3 linked regions of the Callithrix jacchus genome follow. The protein of the gene in region 1 interacts with the protein of each later gene in a biochemical or structural test. Links are inferred from orthologs where the notes say so. Each region holds a gene or a part of one and is shown in the gene's direction. Other genes may lie near its edges.

Region 1 (6,274 bases):
AATGTTCTTTGCAGTTCAGGTCAGCATGCCCTTTTCACTAAGCATAGTTCTATTTACTCAATATTTAGTTGGAGAGAAACCGATACCTCAACTGTGTTTAACCTTTTTTGGCTTCAATGGTTTCAGAAACATCTATTTTCTCATTAGTATCTTGGCATTACCAAGCATTTTTTAAATGAATGCATATAGAATACAGAGCATTTGTGCTTTGTTTGGAGAGGAAAAAAGCAGATCACATTAATGATACATAAAATGACACCCAAAGAATTTCCAGAATAGAAATAAAAACCAAACTCCCAGAAAAGGAAGGAACAAGCTTTACAGCCTTATTCTCTCAAATATTGTTTGGTAGACATCTATGGAAGAAAGTTTAAAAACATGCATGCCTTATATAATTTAATCCTATAACTAGCATAGGAAATGATTTAAATTCATCAGAATTTAGCTCTGATGAAATTATGTAAAACCAACGAAATACTTTGCCTAACAGAGAGTTTTACCTTTCTTTGGGGGTTTTAACACCTAAGAAGAGGATCATTTGGCAGGAAAATCAAGGAAAGCTTTGTACTTTTATTCTTGTCATCTCATTAGCTTAACAGAGACTGTAGAGATAAGGTCTACTTTATCTAGACTCCTGGCTAAATACTAATACATACCTTGAAAATTGCTGATAGTGTTTTTATGCTAGACAAGATAGTACTAAGATAAACTAGTATCTATTGCTGAACAGCCATTACCGTCAGTCACTTTGCATTAGTTTTTTTCCTATCCCCCACCAGGACAAATGTAGCACAAGAAAGTTGCTTTTAATTCCTTTTTTCTCCTTTGTGCTAGTGTAAGCATTGTAACCAAATTTTTTCTCCCATGTCACTCCTAATACAAAATGATAACTTATATTGTAGTCACCTCATCTATACACATCAGAGGAAAACAGTTATCTTTTGTTTTATAGTATATTACATTTAGTTAGGAATATCAACAAAGAAACTGATAAAGCCTTACCAACTGTTTCTTTTACTAGCTTTATTTTTCAGATTATGATTAAAACAAAATTTTTCAAACTTTTGCTCATATTTGCACAAAATTTATATCTCAACTTCTAATTATGGATATAGTGACATCTTTCACTGTAAATTTCCAGGTTGGATGATTGATGCTGACAGTAGACCTAAATTTAAGGAACTGGCTGCTGAATTTTCAAGGATGGCTCGAGACCCTCAAAGATACCTAGTTATTCAGGTTAGTACATTTGACTTATGCCTTTAAGACTAGGCTGATGGCAAACTCACTGCAAAATATGAATAATATCAGGACTTTGGAACTGTGGAAATGGCCACTGTCATACTGTTTAATTAAGCAGATTATCAAGTGAAATGACTTATGAAAAAGAGTTTTACTTCATGTCAGATCCACCTTCCCTTAGTATTCAGGTGACTCTGATATTGAACAGATAATTATGATTATACATATACATAAAAAGGTCTAAATCCTGAGACACTGATTTTAGACTTTGATTTTATTAAGTGTAAGTCATGTTCATTAGCATAATTTTCATTTTTCAGAACAAAAGACAGATTTGTTTTAATGTTGCCCATGCTTGAAGACAATGAATCAAAAGATTCAGTATATTAATATTTAATTTCACCAAAAATATTTTTAAATGTTTTGCTTTATTTGGAGAGAGATGCAGTATCCAAGCAATAACTCAATTCAAATGAATTGATGCATATCCACCATCCAAAGGAATATTTTACATTTAACACTAGAAAAACAGACAGGACAACTTAAAAATAATATGGTTCTCTGACTATTTTCACCTAAACTATAAACAAATGAGCCTTGGACTAGAGTGAATTATGTTTCCTAAGTAAAACAAGGTAGCCTTTATTTTCATATCAATAGTCTGACATAAAGATAAAAGCTCGGTTTTAGAAGATACTTATTTCCATTTATTTTTCCCCAAAATTAGTTTTCATAAATTGAAATTGTTATAGGAAAAATACTTAATAGATGAGGTGAGAAAGAGCATAACAAGGGTTATGCTCTTGGTGTCTGCCTCATGCACCTTTACTCTATTTGACACTTGCACTGTGAGTTTTGAATGCCACTACTTTAATAATGTAGCCAGTATGCTATAGAATAAAGTATAGACCCTATAGGCCTAATAATCCTACAGCATCAAACCAACCAAATAAAATAAAGGTTGATAAGTTAATCGCCTTTTATTGTTTAAAGTTGCAACCCACATATGATCTGAGCAATGAACAATTATTTTCAGACCTGAAATTGACTTTACCGCCCTAAAAACAACTTTTGAATTTTGCTTTCTTTTGTTTAACAGTATTTATCATAATATTCTAGTATAAAATTTGTTTATCTGACCCTGTCATATCTAAGCATGTTATAGGTTTCTTAATGGCTAGTGCTGTGCTAAAGACTTGTTTTTTTAAAATGTGTGAATGAATTTTTCAACGGTTTGTTTTGATATTACATAAATTAATTGCAGAGACCACATATTTAAGATAAAAAACAAAAAAGTCATATTTGTGTCTGATGGGTAATCTTTTAGGGTGATGATCGAATGAAGCTTCCCAGTCCAAATGACAGCAAGTTCTTTCAGAATCTCTTGGATGAAGAAGATTTGGAAGATATGATGGATGCTGAGGAGTACTTGGTCCCTCAGGCTTTCAACATCCCACCTCCCATTTATACTTCCAGAGCAAGAATTGACTCAAATAGGGTAAGAAGGAAGTATATACACATATTATATTACTTCTGAGATATAAAATCATGTAAATAGATTATAAGCACTAACATTTTGAATAATTATATAGCTCAAATCAGTGTGATGCCTAGATTAAAAATATACCATACCTAGAAAAAAATGTGCCAATCTTTCTATATAGAATTTTGGAAGACAGGCTTGGACAGTGCAACATGTATATTGAAATACCTTCAAGATTACCAAAGAAAAAACATTTTCCTCATCTTAATTTAAAAACAAATCAAATTTGAAAAACAATTCCAACTAATACAACCATATGTGTATATAAATAAATGAAAATTCCTACCAAGTAGGCTTTCTACTTTTCCTTCTTAAGAATACAAGTATAAATCTCTGTCAAGTTGAAGTAGAAACACAGAAAACCATGCAGTCCTTTGAACTTAATCATATCGAAAAGGCTGCTGAATCATTTCTAAAAAGTAGATTTAAGTTTTGAAAGAGGCTTCTGTAAAGAATTTCTATTTCATTTTAAATGTTAAACCTACTCTACATGAAATCCATTGTTTCTTTGAAAGCTGTCAAATCCATGCATTTTTTACTTTTATAAATTTATTCATCATTCATTCAACATATATTGAGTACCACTGTGTGTGAAGCATTAGTATACATTTAAGAGTGAAGGAATTTTGGTACAACTGCTTTCAAGAAGTGTCTACCTTAATGAAAAAAATGACACAGATATAGGGACAGCATAAGTGCTGTAATCCAGTATTCACTGACCATTACAGAGCATGAATTTGTAAATTTGTGTCTGTAATCAATTTCTTTCATTGCTAAGATATAAATATGATGCTTAACTTTTTGTAGAAGATAATTCTTTTCCTTGTCTCCTTCTTTAAGAACATTATCACAGCTAGTAGAACAGACAGCATCCAATTTCTCTTGACCATAGCCATAAGAACATTTTCAACTTACTTACTGCTCATTATCTAAAATAATTTGCTTTATTTCATATTGACAGTAATAAGTAATATTCCCCTGGTGTTTACTATTCAACACATATATGTTAACCTCCTAATCCTTAAACAAACTTCACAAGGTTCTATTATTATTATCATCCCTTCTTTCAGATGAACAAACTTGCCACAGAGTAGTCAGGTGAAATGACTGGTGTCACACAGCTAGTCAGTGGAAGACAGGAATAACGTAAGCTAGAGATCTGCCTACTACACTGTAGTTTTGCTTCAGAGTTATGAAGCATGTTATTTCCATGATGAAATTAGATTTCCACGATGTAATTAGATTTCCACGATGTGATTGGAGTCTGGGATTTGTCTTGTTTGGGAAATTCCCAGGTGGTTTTCTTATAAAATGCATCTGAAACCTGCCTTGCACCTTTTGCCCATCTACCTCCACTTAGAAGATCTGATACGGAAAAAGACAAAGATGGAGACCTCAATTAATTTTTCTATTAAAAAAATTATTGTAGCCCAAAATGAAAATTTTGTCACATGCCCAATGGAGAGTAGATAACTAAAAGTTTTAAAAATAAGATCAAGGGATAGGTAATGAAGAATAACCAGTCTTTTAAGAGGGAAGAAAGCTCTTAAGGTATGTAAAGGAGGCCCTTTGTCTTCCCTTCTGTACACTATGCAAAATTACCAAATTATATCCCCTCATATTTATAATTTTAAGTGGTAAATTCATTACTTCTGGCTACAACAGTGAAATTTCAAAAAAAAGTTTATTGAAATGATATAAATCTTTTTATAAGAGTTCTTTTCAACTTTTTGTTCATGTTAATTTATAATTTTCAATTCAAGAAATTCTTAATAAAGATTTGAGCTAACTAGATGGAATTATTGAGACAAAGTAGAAATCACAGGAGGATTTATTTGACCTTTGGTATCATTACTTATTCCACATTATTAGACAAAGTTACCTGTAGATTTTTTATTTTTTCAGTCCTTAGAAAAGAAATTGTGTTTAAATATCATTTTATGTTCAGGCATTTAAAAGGCTTTATTTGTCATGTATATTGTTCTAATGTTTTCCAGTCTGGCTTTATATAACTTTCACAGAAATTTCTAATATGTGCAAATGTCACATTCCTTTCTTTCTAACATGGCTAAATTAGAAAATAAATTACTTTCATTTTAAGTTCTGTGGCTAAATTATGTGCTAACGAAATATCTTAAAAGTGAATTTTGATCAAATGTTTCTTGAGCATACGTGATGGACTTTGAAACCAAAAAAATAATAATGCATTTTGAAAACAGACTCCACTGTGCACTAATTGAGAAACTGTGGATAATGTTCTATGACTTTGTTTACTCATTTTCTAAATGCAATAGTGCCTATCTTATATGAGTAATAAGCAATTAACTTTTTAAAAATTGCAAAGTATTTATAAAGCTAGGTAAAGAAATACATATTACCCTACTTTTAGAGTCACCATTTTCATCTTTTTCCTTGTCAATATCATATATCATAAATAATAACACTTTCTTATAAGGGATTCTACCCACCATCTATGAAAAGCTTGTTAATGCAGTTACTGCTTGGCCAGCAAATTAGGTCTGCTGATATGTTCTAATATCAAATAAAGATAGAAGTAATTTTTATAGTGCTTTTGATTTTGTAAAATTCCACATACATTTTGATAAATTACAACTTGAAAGCAATGAAGCAATTCAAAATACAATGTTCATATTTGTCCAGAAAGTTGATGGATACAAATTTAAGTCATGTTAGAAAACACTTATCTAATTTACAGCTGCTGTTACTATTGTTAGATATAATTTTAATATTATCATCTTTTTTTTGTTTTCTTTTTGAGACAGGATCTTACTCTGTCACCAAGGCTGGAGTGCAGTAGCACGATCTTGGCTCACTGCAACCTCCACATGCCAGGTTCAAGAGATCCTCACATCTCTGCCTCCACAGTAGCTGGGACCACAGGCGTGCACCACGCCACCCAGCTACTTTTTTATATATATATATTTTTTTTTACAGAGATGGGGTTTCCCCATGTTGCCAAGGTTGCTCTTTGAATTCCAGAACTCAAGTTATCTGCCTACCTTGGCCTCCCAAAGTTCTGTGATTACAAGTATGAGCCTCCATGCCTGGCCTCAAATCTTTTTTAAACAATCATACACCAAAAGCATTTACTGTAGCTTGATGTAAAAACAGGAGGAAATGAGAAGCCATTTAACTTCTGCAAATAGTGCTCCACATCTGTAAAATGGCGATTTAACAAATTTCTCAAAGAATATTATGAGGATTAGCTTTTTAGTGTATGCAAGCATGTTACTCATTGATGGACCTGGAGTAGATACTCCAATAGTGTGAAAATAAATTAATTTTAACCAAATGAAAAAAACAAACAGTATTTATTTAGAGACTGCTAGAGTAAGAAAGTCAGCTCTATCAATCACTTGCATTTCGGCAGAGACATAAGGCCAGCAAAGGAGTGGGAGAGCTGAACAGAAAAAAAATTTTAAAGGGAAGGCTTCACATATGCCTGCATTAGAGACTGTTGGCCTGGGG
Region 2 (6,747 bases), on another chromosome or scaffold:
TTTCCACAAATCAAGATATCAAAACTATAAAATATTTTAGGTTGTAGTACATCCATATTTGAGTTGCCAATGAAACCAGAATGAGCCAACTTCATTTTCTTAAATCTTCAATTTCTTTTCATACACAAGTCTTTGTCCAGCACTTTTTATTATTTAGTCTTCATTTTGAAATACTATATTTCAAAATATACAGTAACTTTTCTAAAATCACAGATATAATAGCTTATTTTACTAAAGGCAAAATGTATTTTGAATTTTCTTTCTTTTACGTACTATTCTGTTTTTCAGTAGTCCCTGTTTAATATTATCTGTGAATTTAATTAAGATTGTTTACTTCCCTTTGTTAACTGATGTTCCATAAGACCATACCTAATACCAATTCCTGCAGAATTCCTGTAATGCTTTATTTCAAATAGATATTTCATAGTTTTTTTAAACTTGTTCTTTAGTTTTTAACTCATGAAACTTCAAGAACTATATTTATGTCAGAAAATTCAGAGGTTTAGAAGAAAATAAAAAGGATACACAAAATTCCTTCCTAGCAACTTAGGGAGGAATAAAGGAAGTAGAAACATTAAGTCCTTTTGGAAAAAAATGAAAAGAAATTAAAGATAAACAACTTGAGATTCAGAAAGTACGCAAGCAATAGTAAAGATTAGAGCCTACGTCTATCCAATAATAGATATTAAATATTTGAATATACCTCATAAAAATATGTGGCAATTTCTTTGGATGAAAAGAACAGTGCTAACTCTAAAGCTAAACATAAAGGTTGATTTACAAATAGACATAGTAAGTCTTTCCTACTGGTTAAGAAATTGATTTCCATGGAAGGGAGCTGATCAAATTTGGTATTTGTTAAAAGGATGAAGATCTGTTCAAAGTAGCATACTGAGGTTGCCTAGCACAGGGTTAGGCAGTAAAATAGAACACAGTTTGTATCTGCAGTACAGTTTTGTAGGTCCTCCATACACCTAAAAGTCTAGAAAACTATCTAACTGAGTGTTTGATAGATTTTAGACTGCATTAAATATTGACCTTTAAAAGTGCTAAAGAATTGTCAAAAAAGGAGGAGGTAATCCTGCAGTAAGAGTAGTGAGCCTCACCTGGACTCCCAGGCAACATACAGATCATGTGTGAACGTGTAGAGATCAGTGATAACCAAGAGCTGGTGATAACCTGGCAGTCCAATGTCTTGCATTCAAGGACTGACAGCGATGATTGGGGCAGGAATGCTGGAGGATTGGGATGTTAACACACTGCAGGTTTTCAAGCACAGGCTATGTGAAGATTTGTTGGGAATGTTGCACTTGGGGTTTACACAGCAGGCAGTAAGTAGAGTAGGAATTTTGATAGTCTTGGCTAACTGAGGGTCTAAATTTAAAAGAAAAGAAAACTGTTCTCAGGGAAGCCACCGTAAGTAGTACTTCATTATTAAGTATTACGGGACTATTTCATTCTCATTTCTAGAACAGCACAGGGCTTAGCAACTCAAAACCCACATATCTTACCCACCTACCTAATGAATGACATCTATTATTTCTGTTTTTTAGGTATTGTATAACTCCTTCTTGATTAGTATACTATACATTAATATAGTGGTTCTCAAACTTTAGTGTGCAAAAGATCACTTGGAGGGCTTGTTAAAATGGAATTGCTGCAGTTTATGATTTAGCGGGTCTGAGGTGGCATTTCTGAATTCCTAGGATGTTGCTGACCTCAGTTCACTCTGAGAACTCTATTTCCTGTGAGTGGTCCATCTTCCTCCTGCCAGGTGGTACACTGCCTAAGAGATAAGCACAATGGTGGCCCCAGGACTATTCCTTAATCAAGGTAGATTGTTGTCATTGACTAGGTAAATAGGCAAGCTTACAAAGAAGATCCATTGCCTGCATCTTGTCACCTCTTTTAGTGGTCTTTTCTCTTTTTCCTGGGTTTCTATCAAAGCCACTTGCCATCCCTAGTGTTGGTTTAATCATCCTTAGCAGAGAAAACATTGATCTCGAAGATCAATATTAAGTGGTAGTCAATGTGGTTGGGATCACTCGTGGGAGAATTAAAAATAACAATACGGTTAATTTCAAACCATGGGAAGCTCCCTCTATATGAAGCATATAATAGTTTGTATATATTTTAGTATAAAAGACAAAACCCTTCTCCGTAATTGTATTAAATATGAGTTTTCAATTTATTGATACTTTTTGAAACGATATATAATCATAACTGGGACATTTTTGACATTTGACTTGTTGAAGGTGCTTGCACTGTGGATTACGACGAGGACAAAGGTGCATTGATGAGTGTTTTCTGTGGCACCCCCACCCCCCACCCCGGTTCATTAGTATCCAACATACTTGAAACGGCAAAGGTTAAGTATATGAGACAGTTGGTAAAGAAAAGCGTGCGCCTATACATAGAAATCTGACTTCATAACCACCATTTCTACCAAAATTCTCCATCCTTCTCATATGGTGCCTTTTATTTCGTTTTGAGTTTCAGAATCTATTTTATTTGTGCGTGTGTGATAGTCACGGTGATTTATAGCATGAAACTAAAAAGAAAACATAAATAGTACTGCCCTGATCTTCAAAGCTACCTGACCCTTGCCTGGTTTCTGCGCTGCTGGCTAAGGCTGTTTCTTCCTCCGGTAGTTTCTGGGCATTTTCCTTTCCCTTTCCCCCGTTTCCTCTCCACCACCTCCCGGTCCCCTTCTCGTTTCTCAGGCTTTAACAGTGCTGAGCGCCCGCGAGCTCAGGTACCCCTTCCCTCTTCTCCTGCTCATCAAACAAAGCCCCGGGAGACAGGCGCGCGTCGCCAGCCACGCCGACAGATGATGCAGCCGAGCCGACACACGCTTCGAACCGGAGCAGGACATCATGCGCGACCACGCACCGCGCGTCCCCGCCGCTTCCTTCCCTCTGGACTCTTCCTTTTCCTCCAGGTCCGGCCCCCCGCCACCGCTCCGGGAACGCGCCTGCGCACAAGCTGCCCTTCTCCCTCCTCCGCCCTTCCTTCCCTCCGTCCCTCCTCCCCTGCCCCGCCTTCCTTTCTCTCTCTCCGGTTTCACTCACTGAGAGCTCCAGGTAGTGAGCAGTTCAGTAGATTTCCTCATTACCCAGCCCCTCTTTCTCTTGTCCCTCCCCACCATCTGCCTGGTGGAGGATGAAGGGGCTGCAGTGGTCCCAGCGTATACAGCGGCACCGGCGGTGGCTGCGGTGTGGGTGGCCGGAACTGGGGTGGTGAAGAAGCGGTGGTGGTGTCTAAAGGAGCGATAGCCGCCTCAGCCTCTTTCCCTGTGCTTCCTATCTTCTTTAGTGCAGTCAGGAAGTTTTCGCTTCTGTACGTGTGTGTGTGCGTGAGTGTGGGTGTGTGCAGTGAGGTTTGGGTGGCGTTTGTGCAGGCGTTGGGTTTTTTGCCCACTTCGCTTCCCGTAACCCAGGCAGCTCCGGAGCCTGGGCTGTGGCCCTGGGAGGGGGCGCGGCGGCCGGCTCTCTCCTTTTGTTGTTGTTTCCTCCGCCTGGGGAGCTGAAGGGGAGACGCGCCTGGGTGGGGCGGCTCGGAACCCGGGCCTGGTGGCCCCCGGGGCTCCCGGGCGGGCAGTGTAGGGCAGAGTAGAGCGGGCTTCAACATGATGGCGGCCGAGGCCGGCAGTGAGGAAGGCGGCCCGGTAACTGCCGGAGCAGGGGGAGGCGGCGCGGCTGCGGGCTCCAGTGCCTATCCCGCAGTGTGTCGGGTGAGGATACCCGCGGCCCTGCCAGTGGCAGCCGCCCCCTATCCTGGGCTGGTGGAGACCGGAGTGGCTGGGACTCTGGGTGGCGGAGCCGCTTTGGGGTCAGGGTTCCTAGGAACCGGGTCTGTGGCAGGGGCATTGGGGGGAGCCGGACTGACAGGCGGAGGTACTGCTGCTGGCGTGGCTGGTGCTGCTGCTGGCGTGGCCGGTGCTGCTGCTGCTGCTGCTGCTGCTGCTGCTGGACCTAGTGGAGACATGTCTCTCACCAAGCTGCTCACTTCGTTGCCTGCTGAGACTCTCGGACCAGGAGGTGTATTTCCCCCTCTGCCTCCTCCCCCTCACCTGCCCCCTTTGGGGGCGGGTCTGGGGACAGTGGACGAAGGTGACTCTCTGGATGGACCAGAATACGAGGAGGAAGAGGTGGCCATACCGTTGACCGCTCCTCCAACTAACCAGTAAGTTGAGACTGCTCTTCAGTAAGTTGAGACTGCTCTTCAGTAAGTTAAGACTGCTCTTCAGTTAAGTTAAGACTGCTCTTCAGAATGTGTGAAGCTGTCTCCAGGAAAGAGAGAATGAAGGGGTAAATCATCCTTTTTTTTTTAATCTTTTCAGCTGTGATTTGTTAGGAAAAGTTTTTGAAGTTTCAGATTTCTTGAAGTAGGAATTTAATTTGATCACTCATCCTCCTTACAGGCATACTACCTGGTGTCTTCCTACATTTATTGTTCCTCTGGGAAGATGTAAAGTCTTTAAGCTGGAAAGCATGAGAAAATGTGTATCCAGTGAGAACCAGATATGGTTCTGTCCCTTCCAAGTTGAGGTGATGTCCCAGGATTCAGTCAAGCTGCAGCTACCAAGGCAGTCATAGTGTATAACCTGTGTGTGTTCCTTGATAAAGCTAGATGATGAGTGGGAAGCTTTGAATACCAATATTTAAACAAGTACTATATTAATAATTTGAGAAATATATTGGTTAGAATGTTTTTATTTCAGTGCACATCTCAGCTTCAGATTATAGAAAACAGTGATGCAGAAAAGTCTTAGAGTCATTTAATGAGAACTTGGGTCAGAGAGAAAGGAAAGCAGTAGTGTGAATTATAGGTGTGATTAAGAGCCTATACTCCAACAATGTCTGTATCTTCTTCCATAGCTTCCCACTTATTAATGCACTGCTTTTATAGTTGAGACATTAGAAGTACAACAGTGAGGTAAAACAAAATTAATAAATCTTCCCTTAAGCATTTTTGTTGGTGGCCAGAATAGTATTCTATTTGAAAATTAAGTTCTACAGTCTGCAGAATATACAGGACAGTGACTGTTTTTCATGTTAGTTAATACCTCCTCCTCACTTGTTCTCTTAATTGAACTTAGGTGTTTATTTGTAAAGGTGAACCTTGATGAGAATGTTGAGATGGGAAGTGGTATCAGGCAAAACTTGTTTTATAGATTTCGAATGTAACTCTTAATTGACCCTTAGAATTTTAACAACCTTGGTGCATATCAGGACAAAAGATTTGGTTCATATGTTGACAGTCACGCTGGACAATTCAGAGGTTTTGTTTCTTTTTCTTTTCTCTCCTCTGAGACGGAGTCTTGCTCTGTTGCCCAGGCTGGAGTGCGTGGTGCCATCACGGCTCACTGCAACCTCTGCATCCCAGGTTCAAGCGATTCTCCTGCCTCAGCCTCCCGAGTGGCTGGGATTACAGGAACGTGCCCCATGCCTGGAGAATTTTTGTATTTTTAGTAGAGACGAGGTTTTGTCATGTTGGCCATACTGGTCTTGAACACCTGACCTCAAGTGATAAGTTGGAATACCAAGACATAAGTTGGTATTCCAACTTATGTCTGTAATGCAGAGTCTTTGGGAGTGTTCTGAGAGGGTTAAAAATGCCATCTACAGCACTGCTTTTGAAAAAAGTTCAGTTTTTATTAAATGCTCACTGCATGCTCAGTACCGTGGTTATGAAGAACAGAATGTAACTTTTCATACTGAAAGAATCTAGTCTTATGACAGTTTATAACTAAATTAGATATATTTAGGATATTGTAGTTGAAAAAAACTTGTGTTAATAGTTTTTTTTTTTTTTAAGACAGAGTTTTGCTCTTTCATCCAGGCTGGAGTGAAGTGTCAGTGATCTTGGCTCACTGCAACCTCTGCCCCCCAGGTTCAAGTGATTCTCCTGCCTCAGCCTCCTGAGTAGCTAGGATTACAGGTTCCCTCCACCACGCCTGGCTAATTTTTGTATTTTTAGTAGAGTTGGGGTTTTATTGTATTGGCCAGGCTGGTCTCGAACTCTGACTTCAGGTGATCCACCTGTTTCGGCCTCCCAAAGTGCTGGGATTTACAGGCATGAGCCACTGCACCCAGCCCAAAACACTATTTTATTTAGAGTCGTTTTAGGTTCACAGCAAAATTGAGGGGAAGATACGGGGTGTTCCCATTAAATTTTTAATAATAAACACGATTGGGCCGGTCTGGTGGCTCATGACTATTTCCAGTGCTTTGGGAGGTCTGAGGTCAGAGTTTGAGAACAGTCTGGCCAACATGGTGAAACCCCATCTCTACTAAAACACCAAAAAACCCCCAAAAGTTTGCCGGGTGTGGTGGTGGGCACCAGTAATCCTAGCTACTCGAAAGGCTGAGGCAGGAGACTCGCTAAAATCAGGGAGGCGGAGGTAGTGAGCCGAGATCACACCATTGTACTCCAGCCTGGGCAACAAGAGGGAAACTCTGTCAAGAAAAAAAACAAAAAACATGATTGAGTACATATGAAAAATTGTGAGAAATTGATTGTGTGGGATTTTCATCATGATTACATGTATTTGGAAAGAAAAAGTTATATTCGTATGACTGTGTATATGAGACTTGTTTATGTTCTAAAAAATAACCTCCGTTTCTTTTTGTTTATTTATTTTTTGAGATAGAGTGTTGCCTAGGCTGGAGTGCAGTGGCGCCATCTCGGATCACTGCAACCTCTGCCTCCCGGGCTCAAGTGATTCTCCTGCCTCAGCTTCCT
Region 3 (6,274 bases), on another chromosome or scaffold:
TTTAGATATCCTTTAATTGGTTTATATAAGATTTTGTGTGGAATGTAGCCGTGATACCTATAAATTAAACCTAAGACAGATGGAGAACTTTGGAGTTTAGCCCTCCTAATGTAATTTTCATGTTGGATGTGAAGGGCAGTGTGATTTTCATAAGACTTTCATTGTACGCTTCTGAATACCTTTGGGACCAGATCTGGTCATCGTGAAACCAAGCTTTCCTCTAGCAGCTGCCTGCAGTAACACTAGGTATTCTTGAATTAATGGACCAATGGAAACATCTTTGTAGTTTCTGCTTCAGGCAAATGTTTTTTGCCCTAAATGTGGTTAGGAAAAATGAAGCCCTTCATCCCGCTTTTTGCCTGATTGTAGCTGTAGGAGGTCACCTGTTCTCAGAGGATGTGAGGACTGTGAAGAGAGGGGTCTTGTGTTGCTTCAGAGGAATCAGTATCAGTCCCTTTCAGAAGCTCTCCTAGGATAGACAGGTATTAGGGTGAAATCACCCTGCCCCACTCCTTACCACCGTGTCTAAGTCTCTGCTCCCTCTCTCCTTCTTCCTTTTTACTTTGGTGGTACTGAGAGGATGACATGATGGGTGCTGATTACTCTCTACAGGCCTTTCTGACAACCTGCTCTCAGTATCCCCCCAGTGCACAGAAGACAAACCAGACTGTGGACTGTGTTTGATTCCTGGGCCCTATTTTAAAGGCCTTATTTTAATGTGTTAGTTCTCATATTTTAGAATTTGTTTGCCAAGGTTTCCAAAGGAGTTTAGAAGCTGGAGACAGGGCTGCAGCAGTTTGCTGATGTTTAAAGTTAGCTAAAACATTCTTTTCAGAGTCATGATTTAATTTTATATCCTGTGACGAGTTCCCTGTAGTGACTGGGAGCAGTCCTCAGCCTTGATTGGTCAGTGACAGCATAGAGTACAATTAATATTAGGAATGTTTATTTGGGGAAACTAAAATTTACATCAAATCTGTCAGAGGCGTTTGGATCCATAAAATACTGGAGAGAAAGCCAAAAGACCACATTCTTCTTCTTCTTCTTTTTCTTCTTTTGAGACCATATCTTGCTCTGTTACCCAGCCTGCAGTGCAGTGGCACAGTCTTGGCTCACTGCAGCATCTGCCTCCCAGATTCAAGCGATTCTCCTGCCTCAGCCTCCTGAGTAGCTGGGATTACAGGTGTGTGTCACCACACCTGGCTAATTTTTGTAATTTTAAAAGAGACAGAGTTTTACCATGTTGGTCAGGCTGGTCTCATACTCTTGACCTCAAGTGATCCACCCAGCCTCCCAAAGTGCTGGGATTGCAGCCAGCCACCAAGTGGCTCCCATGTGCTACTGTGCCCGGCTAAGACCACATCCTTCTATTAAATGTTCCTCCTACCATGTTTTCTTTTTTCTTTCAACTAATCATCTACTGTGACTGTTCATGTCTGTAGCTGCTTTCTTATTTCCAGTTTTATAGCTGTAAATTTCTCTGTCTTCCTAAGATACAAGGTAAATTTCTCTTGCTGATATTTGTGTCATGGTGGTTTTGGAAAGTAAGTGGTGTGGATGACTGCCCAGAATTCAACAGAACATAAAAGCATTCTCTGCCTAGGACACATCACCAAATAGATACAAACTCATCTCCTATTGAGTGAAATAGCTTCCTTTTTGGCAGCAAGAATAATTTTCTTGGTGCCATATATTTCAATCACCTGCTCTTAAAGCCAGCAGCTATTGCAGACTTGGCATTCCCAGGACCCAGTTAAGGGAAAGTGACGTGTAGAGGAGGTATCAGATGGGTCTGGATATAGAAAAAGCAGCTGGTTCAAAACCCTATGGGCTGCCTTTCTGTGATATAGTTATTCACACTTGGGTTAGATAAGGCACAGAGTCCTCCTACACTGGTGCGGAAATGAAGCAGACAGTCTGGCTCGTTGGGCAGCTTAGACTCCTCCAGACTCTATGCTTGCCTTCCCTAGGGAGTGACTGGCAGATCTTAGAATTCAGACCTCAGTGGTTGCTAGCCAGTACTCTCACATTGGTTGGTCTTTCTCTCTGCATCTTTGATTCCTTAGAGATAAATAAACAAGCATTGACTCTCCTTTGACATGTGCTTGGATCAGACAACTGCACAAGCTGCTTTTCTCCTCCCACTTCTGCTTAGTCCTCCGAGCACCTGCATCTGCTTTTGTTAGAACTTTTTTTTTTTTTTTTGAGAGGGAATCTCTCTCTGTTGCCCGGGCTGGAGTGCAGTGGCATGATCTCAGCTCATTGCAACCTCTGCCTCCCAGGTTCAAATGATTCTCCTGCCTTAGCCTCCCAAGTATCTGTGATTACAGGCACCGGCTACTATGCCTGACTAATTTTTGTATATATATATATTTTTGAGATGAAGTTTCGCTCTTGTTGCCCAGGCTGGAGTGCAATGGCATGGGCTCAGCTCACTGCAACCTCTGCCTCCCTGATTCAAGCGATTCTCCTGCCTCAGCCTCCCAAGTAGCTGAAATTATAGGCATGCACCACAATGCCCAGCTAATTTTTGTATTATTAGTAAAGACGGTGTTTCACCATGTTGACCAGGCTGTTCTCGAACTCCTGACCTCAGGTGATCTACCTGCCTCAGCCTCCCAAAGTGCTGGGATTATAGGCATGAGCTACCATGCCTGGCCTAATTTTTGTATTTTTAGTAGAGACGGGGTTTCACCATGTTGGCTAGGCTGGCCTCGAACTACTGATCTCAAATGATCTGCCCATTTTGGCCTTCCAAAGTGCTGGGATTACAGGTGAGCCACCATGCCCAGCCTGATTCTTTACAGATCAACAAGCATTGACTCTCCTCTGACACGTGCTTGGATCAGGTAACTGCACCAGCCTCCTTTCTCCTCCCACTTCTGCCCGGTCCTCCAAGCACCTGCTTTTCTTATTTGAACTCTCCTTTTCTTCGAAAACCTAACAGATGCTAGACAGGCCGTTTTCCACATTGGTGGTCATTAAGCAAGACCTGCACATTTGTTTGTTGCTGGTTTAGGTTTTGATTTCAGAGTTCACAGAATTAACTTTCTTTTTCTCTGATCCCTTCCAGAGTAAGTGTGTCAAATACTGGCCTGATGAGTATGCTCTCAAAGAATATGGGGTCATGCGTGTTAGGAACGTCAAAGAAAGTGCTGCTCATGACTATACGCTACGAGAACTAAAACTTTCAAAGGTTGGACAAGTAAGTATATTGTCGTATTCTAGAGACTTTGGGAAGTGCTGATGGTATGTAGTAATTCAGGGTCTTGCAGTTACTCATGTTTGCATACATTCGTGCTTTCGCTCACTCATTGATTCAGTAGCCATTTATTGGGTTCCTTCTATGTGCCAGGTACAGTTTAGGCAGTACTGTTACACTGTGAACAAGGCAGGTGGTGTTCCTGCCCTTATCGAGCCTAGAGAGATGGAAGATTTAAAAACAAGTAACTGGCCAGGCGCTGAGGCTTATGCTTGTAATCCCAGCACTTTGGGAGGCTTGAGCCTTCCAGGTGGATCGCTTGAGCCCAGGAGTTCAAGACCAGCCCTGGGTGGGAGATTGGAATGGGGTGACCTGAGTGGTTGCAAGGCCTGTTAGGAGGCCTCTGCAGGAGCCAAGGTTGATGGCCTCCTCTCCAAGTATCCACAGACTTCAGCAGTTGTTCTTTTTTGTTCCTTCCTTTGGAAAGGAATATTATGTAAAATGGCAGAATAAACTGGAAGAGAAGCAGTGGATGTGAGAAGTGCTGGGGGTGAAGTCTGCAGGGCGTGAGGATTGTTTGGCCTTTGGAGGAGGAAGAGGGATTCAAGACACAATGTAGAGGTTTGAGTCTGAGTGGACAGTGGTGCTGTGGCAGACACCACAAAAGCTGGAGGGAGAACTGATGTGGGCAGTGATTTGTTTTCTTCTGGACGTGTTCAGCTGGGCATCTGAACAGTCATGTGGACATTCATCTATTCATTCAGAGATGTTTGTTTAATGACCTCTTGGTTCCTGACACCATGCTGCTTGCTGGAGATAGAGCTGGGGAACAAAACAGATGGAGTCCCTGCACTCCCAAGTGTACCCTGTACTGGCCAGTAATCTACCAGCCCAGTAATCGCACATATAAATATATCATTACAAACCGTAATCAAGGCTAGAAAGAAAAAATGCAGGAGTTTAGGGTTCATTTAGAGGGGGAAAGGACTTTTTTTAAACAGAACCTTGCTCTGTCACTCAGACTAGAATGTGCTGGTGCAGTCACGGCTCACTGCAGCCTCAACTTCCTAAGCTGAAGTGATCCTCTCGCCCCAGCCTCCCATGTAGCTGGCGACTACAGCTTGTGCCACCATGCCCACCCAAGTTTCAAATTTTTTGTAGAGATGGGTGTCTCATTATATTGTCCAGGCAGGTCTTGAACTCCTGGGGGTAAGTGATTCTCCTACCACAAGTAGCCTCCCAAAGTGCTGGGATTATAGGCATGAGTCAGTGCACCTGGCCAAAGGAAAGGAGGTTTTTTTTTTTTTTTTTTTTTGAGATGGAATTTCGCTCTGTCACTCAGGCTGGAGTACAGTGGCATGATCTTGTCTTTCTGCAACCTCTGCCTCCCGAGTTCCAGTGATTATCCTGCCTCAGCATCCTGAGTAGCTGGGATTACAGGCGTGTGTCACCATGCCTAGCTTATTTTTGTATATTTAGTAAGGATGGGGTTTCACCATGTTGGTCATGCTGGTCTCGAACTCCTGACCTTGTGATCTGCCTGCCTCGGCCTCCCAAAGTGCTGGGATTACAGGCATGAACCACTGCGCCCAGTGCGCCCAGCTGGAAGGGAGGTTCTTAAGGCATAGGAAACAATGTATTTGAGTTGGCAAAGGAGGTTGGGGGAGGTTATCCTAAGTATAGTAAGCAGCCATAGTTGGATTTAAGCTTTTAAGAGATTCCCCTCCACCCTGTAGAGACTGGAGCGAGGAAAAGTGGGTCTAGGGATAGGACTGATTAGGAGGTACTGCAGTTGTCAGAGTGAAAGATGATAGGGCTTGAACTAGGCCAGTGGCAGGGGTGCCAGAAAGAAGAGGACCCAGTAGAGCTAACTGGAGGCAGTTAGCCTGGCAGGGATTTAATGATGGAGTGTACCAAGGGCGAGGCTGGCATGCAGGATGACTGGTGGTTTTCTAGCCTGAGAAGGCAGGGTGAAGGGCAGTGGACTTGAGGAAGCTGGAAGGATCAGCAGGGACCTCTTTGTGGACACACTAAGTTTGAGATGCCTTGGACACATTGAAATGGAGCTGTCAGGGAGGCAAGGGTGGAGGTGGGATGAGGAGGAGAGGTGGGACGCGTTGTGGATGGAGTTTTTGCTTGATGGAGGCACATTTTTTCCTGTGGCAATGAAGGGCAAGAGGAGAAGGTGGCCACAGATGCCAGTAGGTGAGCTAAGAGCGATTATTTTCCCTATCCTCTCCGAAGCTTGAGGCAAGGCCATCAACAGACAGTCAAAGGGAATAAGAAGAGATATTTGAATATTTGAAGAAAGGGAGAAAAGAATGAAATCATAATTGTGTAGCAGAGCAAGAAGTCCAGAAATTTTTGTGCTGTGCCAAGTGCCCAGCTGAGGTGGTGAACATGAAAATATACTGATATCCACCACCTGGTTTTTCTCCAAGGACACTTGGCTCCTAGGGCACAAAACAGAGAGTATGTGGTTCGCCCAGGCCTGGGATTTGCATAGGTGCAGTGGATGGAGAGGTCAGGAAGTGGAGGCACACGGTAGAAAGTGACTGTCCCCACAGCATGGGGACTCCTGGCTGGATGAGGGGGACAGGGGCAGGAGGAGACAGGTGGAAAGTGGAGGGAGGGCTCAGTGATCTGGAGGCTACCGGAAGTGACAGAGAGACTAGAAGGAGCTGGGAGCCAGTGTAGTTGTGGCCCAGGGTGGGATGTTTGGATTTCTGATGTCAGAGAGGGTGCAGTCCTACTGATGATGGGGAGGGGCAGAGGCTGAAGCTATGGTAGAGATTGTGAGAGGAACTGGAACAATGTAGCTGTCAAGTAGAAATGGGGGACTGAACGCCGTGGGTTATGCCTGTGATCCCAGCACTTTGGGAGGCTGAGCCAAGAGGATCACGTTAGCTCAGGAGTTCAGGGTTGCAGTGAGCTGCGATTGTGCCACTGCACCCCAGCCTTGGCAACAGAGTGAGATTCTGTCTCTTATAAAAAAGAAGAGGGCTGGGCGTGGTGGCTCAAGCCTGTAATCCCAGCACTTTGGGAGGCCGAGGCAGTGGATCACGAGGTCAA

The links.
Region 2: the proteins of ERBB4 (region 1) and RASA1 form a complex in vitro, tested with the Homo sapiens proteins (2 studies listed by BioGRID and IntAct, with this or other methods). The link is inferred for Callithrix jacchus from reciprocal best matches to the Homo sapiens genes ERBB4 and RASA1.
Region 3: the proteins of ERBB4 (region 1) and PTPN11 form a complex in vitro, tested with the Homo sapiens proteins (2 studies listed by BioGRID, with this or other methods). The link is inferred for Callithrix jacchus from reciprocal best matches to the Homo sapiens genes ERBB4 and PTPN11.

The regions. Positions count from the first base shown.
Region 1 is NC_133507.1:133,070,332-133,076,605, reverse strand, and holds part of ERBB4 (receptor tyrosine-protein kinase erbB-4), read left to right. Parts: intron 1-1,141; coding exon 1,142-1,239; intron 1,240-2,569; coding exon 2,570-2,740; intron 2,741-6,274. UniProt on the Homo sapiens protein: Tyrosine-protein kinase that plays an essential role as cell surface receptor for neuregulins and EGF family members and regulates development of the heart, the central nervous system and the mammary gland, gene transcription, cell proliferation, differentiation, migration and apoptosis.
Region 2 is NC_133503.1:123,601,200-123,607,946, reverse strand, and holds the start of RASA1 (ras GTPase-activating protein 1), read left to right. Parts: upstream 1-3,039; 5' UTR 3,040-3,628; coding exon 3,629-4,185; exon of another isoform or gene 4,186-4,272; coding exon of another isoform or gene 4,273-4,310; intron 4,311-6,747. UniProt on the Homo sapiens protein: Inhibitory regulator of the Ras-cyclic AMP pathway. Stimulates the GTPase of normal but not oncogenic Ras p21; this stimulation may be further increased in the presence of NCK1.
Region 3 is NC_133510.1:115,438,413-115,444,686, forward strand, and holds part of PTPN11 (tyrosine-protein phosphatase non-receptor type 11), read left to right. Parts: intron 1-3,073; coding exon 3,074-3,205; intron 3,206-6,274. UniProt on the Homo sapiens protein: Acts downstream of various receptor and cytoplasmic protein tyrosine kinases to participate in the signal transduction from the cell surface to the nucleus. Positively regulates MAPK signal transduction pathway. Dephosphorylates GAB1, ARHGAP35 and EGFR.